2 linked regions of the Bombyx mori genome follow. The protein of the gene in region 2 binds, or shares a complex with, the protein of the main gene of each other region. Links are inferred from orthologs where the notes say so. Each region holds a gene or a part of one and is shown on either strand. Other genes may lie near its edges.

Region 1 (2,477 bases), on a different chromosome or scaffold from region 2:
TGAAATCTGCGTTACTTGGATCCGCAGTGTACTACACAATAGACAAAGGTGTGTGGAAAGATAGTGCTACGACAGCGGCGATATATGATGAACTTGAAAAAGGAATGTCACCATATGTCGGGGAACTAAAGAGCCAAGTTCCATACGAAGTATGTTCTTAACTCAATTAACTACCTACTTTTAATTTCTTTTGCGGTTATGTTAATTCCAATGTTTATTTAATTACAGCTACCAGCATTACCTTCTAATGACAGGATATCATATTTGTTCAAGTACTACTGGAATTGCGGTGTCAAAGCTACATTTAGATTTTTAGTCGAATTGCCTACCCATACTAGTAATGCAGCTTTCAAGACATACGACTTTATTTCATCATCTTTGGAAACTCCAGAACCACATCAAGAAAAAGATAAATGAAGACTTAGTCAATAATTGTAATTTATTAAATACTTTAAATGTATAATTGACATTTCATCAGATGAATTTAGAGCTGGTGGTAATAAGAAATAAAATGCAACTTTACAAAACAGGCCACAGCTGTGGCAATTTGATTTATTAATTTTCTTGCAGTGTCAATATTTTATAATTTTCTATAACATTCATGCATGTTGAACACAATTTTGTGAAAAATAATAATACACACTGTTTATTTTAACATACAAAATCACATTCCAGTTTAAAAAATGAAACATTCAAATTATTAACTTCGCAAAGGGAAGTATTTGTGCACAACTATATCAGTTCAGGAATGATTAATTTGATTATAATCAAATTTTACCATAAAACGTATTTGCATGTACACAAAAATAACTGCATATTTATTTACCTACAAAATGGCTACATAAAGTAATTAGTACACACTTATGTGAAAGAAATTGGACACTAAAGTTGAAAAGCTATTATGCTATAAAATGTATTCTATAAATGAAGGCATTCTGGTGTCTAAGCCAAGATCAGAGAAGATCTTGGGTTTGTTTGTAGGTACAAAGCTAGATATTTATTCACATAACTATAAGTCAAGATGTGGTTGTCTCAGTAAAAAATTGCACAATTTTTGTTATTTTTGTCCATTTATATTGTGGAAAAATGTTAATATCATTTATTCCTGGGCACTTATGTATTTTTGCTAGGCAGCAGTCTCCACTTCCATGGGCTCTTCAGCTCCTGTTTTCTTTTTCTTCTTCTTGTTAGATTTTGCTGATGAATTTAGAAGGGCCTGTTTGTTAGAACAGAAAAACAATTTATTAGACTATCATCACCTTCATAGCGATTTAAAAAAAAAAAATGATTTCACAGAATGTTGTAATAGTTCAAACTGAAATGTAAAACAAAAACAAGTCAGCTCAAAAAGATTACAAATACTTTACCCTGAGCTTGTTCAAAACACACAATGTGATATGTTATGAAAGATAGCAGGGATAATATGTTTTCTACTTTTATCATGTTGGGTCTTAATCTTGTCTAGAATCAAGTTACAGCTGTTTTTCTGAATTAAAAATAAAATAATGGTAGGTGCTTTATAGAAATTGATGTTAGATGATTAAAAAATGATACATAGCTTTAATATAGACCTTTGTTTTCTATAACAGAATTTAAAAAAAAAACTAAGCCCTTACATGTACCATTCTGTAGATAGCACCCTGATCTGGTCTTAGTTACTGTTCACATTACAATATTTCAATAAACAGATAATAATAGTAAACAATACTGACATTAAGTTCTGGATCCTTGATGCTGCGTTCACTCTTACATTGGCTTTTATCAAAAGGCAAGCCAGTAATACGATGTGTGCCACTAGGAAGCAGAAGAGCCGTGAACTTAAACTGTGCCACCAATTCTCCTGGACGCTCATAGAGAACCTGAATAACAATTTTAATAAGTCAGGTCAGGTTCATAGTATTATAATTAATTTTTATTTTATTTTGGCTTTAGGCAAACTCACACCCAATATGGTGGTTACTGGAGTTGATCTTTACATTAATAAATCAGTCAGTCACTTGAACACACACAGTTGAAAGACTATATTGTTCTGCTACATCAAATATCTTACCTTTGGACCTGAATGCATAGCGTCTTTGCACCAGAAATAGGCCTAATGCTCATATCTATTCATGTCCGTATTTACATATCATTTAATTATTTAGAAAAAATCTCATAAATATGATTTTGTGTAAGGAACATATTTACTTGCCAAAAGTGGCATGACTCAAAATCATCATACAGGACTTGTCACCTGCCAAGCCACAGACGATCAACATTCATATTTACAAAAGAAAGATAAGCTAAACCTGTATTATTCTATGGAGTTAACTGATCTATCTTATACATTCAAGAACAACAGAGATGCCAACAATATCGAGCAGTAATAATATTAATAAAAAAAAAGAATTTGATGTTGGATAACCTCACTTCTTTGAAGTTGGTTAAAATGAAATGCTATTGCTGTTTTGAAAAAATTGTTTAGATATTTATTTACC
Region 2 (3,764 bases):
TTATTTTATACAATAGTTAGGTCTTTTATTTATCGATTGAGGCACTACGAAGTCTGCCGGGTCAGCTAGTTTAATCAATATATTTGGCCAATTAAATGATATAGTAGTCAGTTAATGTAGTAATGGTATGTAGTGGTACCTGTCACCGCCGCCGCCACCACCGCCACCGCCGCCACCGCCATAGTCTTCCTTCACACGTATATATGTCACCTCACCCTGGAAATGAATATTTAATAGACGTCTAAATCTTGCACTACATGACACTGCTTGCTTTTTAAATTTCTTGAGTTGATTGTAAAACGCTTTTACAGTGTAATATAGCTTTCTTTTCATTCATTTTATAATCTTCATCATCTATGACCATAAGGTCTGTAATATCAAGATTAAGAAAGTATGGTTCAAATTTGATCCATGGTTCAAATTTCTTTTGTAATATCAATATGAAAGCAAACTCAGTTTACTTAAGCTGAGATGATGTTTTGTTGCCTCACATCTCATTTTACATTCCATTTGTTCTTTTCAATCTCATATCAGTTTTTCTCAAACTGAAATTACTTTACCATAATTGACAAGTGAATTGTTTTTTAAAAAAAATATTTAACTGTATGTTGAAAGGACAATCTCATTTTTTATAATTCAGTAAACAAATTGGTAACAAGTATGGGCAGAAAAAAACATTGAAAAAAAAAAAAAAAAAAACTGGTATTGCAAATAATCAGAAAAAGGAGACAGCTTAGTCCAACCTAGCTAAAGAATTCAAAAGTTTGTTTTGCTTACTTTATTTACTTGAGTTTTACAGAATGCAATTTTGGACATTATAGATATCTACTGAGTTTGACACAAAATAACAGTTGTTGATTTTGAGCAGCTATTTGTAAATGAACAGTTTAAGCACTATCCCATGGTTTAATTTCTCCTTCATGAGCCTTAAACTTCTAACTAATTCAAATTAAACTATAAAAGTATTTGACACAATTGATTATCTTGAAACTTTTATGTCCACGTTGGGTAACAATGATAAAAAATTTGGGACAATCCACCAACAGTACTGTTCTTTCACATTACAGGTTATGTTTATAATTATTTTCAAATAAAGTGGAAGAAACTAACCTCATGACTCCTAAATCTAGAATCATCTAACTTTTTAACAGCATACTTCATATCTTCATGCCTCAAAAATTCCACAACACCAGATCCATCTTTAAAGGTGTCTGCAAAGCATACGTCGCCGGCCTCTCGCATATGGTCTTTGAGGTCCTGCCAGGAACCCGAGGGCGGTAAGCCGGTAACGAGCACGCGGTATTCAGAGCGTCGAGCGGGCGGACCACGTGCTGCCCCTCGTCCACCCCAACGGTCACCACCGCCTCGAGAACCACGAGAGCCTCCACCTCCACCTCCACGAGGGAACTCGACTCGAAGACGGTACCCATCATAGTCGTAACCATCCCTGGCTCTTACTGCATCATCTGCATCTCTGAATTCCAAAATAGATTTTATTAAAATAACTTGTCTCAGATTAATTTAGGTAGATATGACTGTATATTCTACTAGGAGTGAAACAAGGCAGGCTCTGAGCTGTGCACCTGGTATTCTTGACGTTCATTAGTGACAGTAACAACTCACCATGAAGTGGACATATCTAATAAAAGAACCAATCACACACAGTTTTGACATCACTCATTGTGTAATTTTAATTTAATATGTTGTGTGTTTATATGTGTGTTATAATTTTATATAATTGGCAATAATCAGCAAATTTTATTGATTTTAATTTTTCTGAAATAATTAGAAATCATAGGTGAATATTATTAGATTTATGGATACAGGTGCTCTGGCAGACTATTAAATCTGTGCCACCCTTCATATATTTTAATATGTGCCAACTTTTAAACTAATTAGTTGTCAATTAATCATAAAATAATAAATGATTAATTGTTAATTTAAAGTCCCATTTTCATTTATCAGTAAAAATGTTTACTTAATCTGTATCTGTATCTGTGGTGTGGAAAATTATATTAACGCTGAATAAAATTGTTCATTTCGCTATAGTCGGGTACAGATAGCGGTGTATGCGGCATAACGTATGCGCTCTTTTAAATCTTCTTCAAAGGCAGCTGAACATTCCGTCCACCTGACACGGGATGATTATCGCTACTCAGACATGGACAACGTTAGTAATATAGATAGCCCGTTTCTCTTTTCGAATTCAACACTCACCTGGGATCCTCAAATTCCACGAACGCGAATGGCGGACCTTTTCTGTTCTTTAGGTCAACGAACGTTACTTTTCCGAACTTGTAAAACAAGTCTTGAATATCCTTTGTCCTTATGTCCGGTGGTAAGTTTCCAACATATATACGACACTCATTTCTGTTGCTACTGCTTCCACCCGACATTATAGCTAAAGAATATTACTATTGCTTAAACGTTTACTTATTATTATGTTGGCTTCATCGACTAATTTCACCAATCCGACGCTTTACTGTGTGTAATTGAAAGTCGGGCAATATGGCGTCAAATGTCAATGTTCCGATTTTGGATCACGGTGGATTTGACAGAAAAGAAAACGATAATCATGAAAACGGAAGTGGAAAAACCTGGTCATAGATTATAAATATGTGGCTGTATAATTTTTACAAAAGTCCGTGTGAAAGGATTTATACAAAGATGTGTATGTAGTCGTCCGGCACATTTTAAAACTAAACACCATAAAATTGAATAATTAATCTGAAATGTAGTTTGCTTTTGGTGATATCAGGATCAGGACACTTATCATTCTTTCCTGCTTGTCCGGAAGTTTCTGTGTCGAAATCAGTACCTATAGCGTGTTTTATAGGTCTTTCTAATTTCGAGCCCGCTGCCCTTCACTTTTGTTAAATGGAAATTAATATATAGGCTGATCAATATTGGCAGTTTCGAGTTATGTTAGTAACATTAAAGTATGGGTTTTCCCATATAAAATCAGGTAGGAACTTACTAGAGAACTTGTACTTGAACTTGTGCTTAAGGTGTCATCTTCTTGAATGGATTAAATAAAATAAAATAAAATAAATAATACAATAAGGCTATGCGTCATGATAATCGCCTTATTGGTGCCACCGTTGATTACTCCTCGAATTCTAATCATGCAGGAGCCAGTCACCGTTGATGCCCTAGACACGTCCTTACGGATCCATCAGATCCAATAACCTTTGCATTAGAAGCCTTCAGCTCTAACACTAGTAGCAGGCTCAGGGACCCCGGTAACCGTACTCATAGAACTCGACAAAGAGTTCGACGTGCAACCTAATCTATGTATCAGCCCGCTGAGTTTCTCGTCGGATCAGCTGTCAAAGCAGCTACTCTTGAGTTGATAAGTCTCCTTCGGAGGCGCTCGGGCAGCTGTTAAGTAATCCCACCCCTCCTGGCTGCGCTTTTGCTCACCTAACTGTCCTGGTGAAATTAGTGTAGGGGAAGCTTAACGACCGAGGGAAGATCTTCCATCGAGCTGGTGATATTGCTCGGTAGACCGACGGTCCGAATGCTGTTGTTCGGAACTTGTATATATGCGCTTTAACTTGAAAATGTCGTAAGCGAGATTCAGACATCTGTCAATTATCTTGCGTTGTATGATGGCTACCCGCCACATCACTCCCCTCCGAGACTGGAGGTCGTGTCATTTTTAGTTAGCGTTGTCCATGCTGAGATTAGCTTGCAAGGGCCAGTGCTGCTCGAAGCCTGCGGTGAGTCGAGGCTGAGCTTGAATTGCTGCGTGATTGTCGCTA

The links. The genes of interacting proteins can lie anywhere in the genome.
Region 1: serine/arginine-rich splicing factor 1A (region 2) and proliferation-associated protein 2G4 share a complex: the UniProt entries of both Homo sapiens proteins name them as parts of the ribonucleoprotein complex. The link is inferred for Bombyx mori from reciprocal best matches to the Homo sapiens genes SRSF1 and PA2G4.

What each region holds. Positions count from the first base shown.
Region 1 is NC_085115.1:12,272,880-12,275,356, reverse strand, and holds the end of proliferation-associated protein 2G4, read right to left. Parts: coding exon 2,477-2,477; intron 1,860-2,476; coding exon 1,713-1,859; intron 1,217-1,712; coding exon 1,127-1,216; 3' UTR 519-1,126; downstream 1-518. Other genes in the region: MICOS complex subunit MIC13 homolog QIL1, read left to right, coding at 1-149, 229-417. UniProt on the Homo sapiens protein: May play a role in a ERBB3-regulated signal transduction pathway. Seems be involved in growth regulation. Acts a corepressor of the androgen receptor (AR) and is regulated by the ERBB3 ligand neuregulin-1/heregulin (HRG).
Region 2 is NC_085122.1:430,086-433,849, forward strand, and holds the start of serine/arginine-rich splicing factor 1A, read right to left. Parts: upstream 2,616-3,764; 5' UTR 2,397-2,615; coding exon 2,218-2,396; intron 1,475-2,217; coding exon 1,111-1,474; intron 217-1,110; coding exon 140-216; intron 1-139. UniProt on the Homo sapiens protein: Plays a role in preventing exon skipping, ensuring the accuracy of splicing and regulating alternative splicing.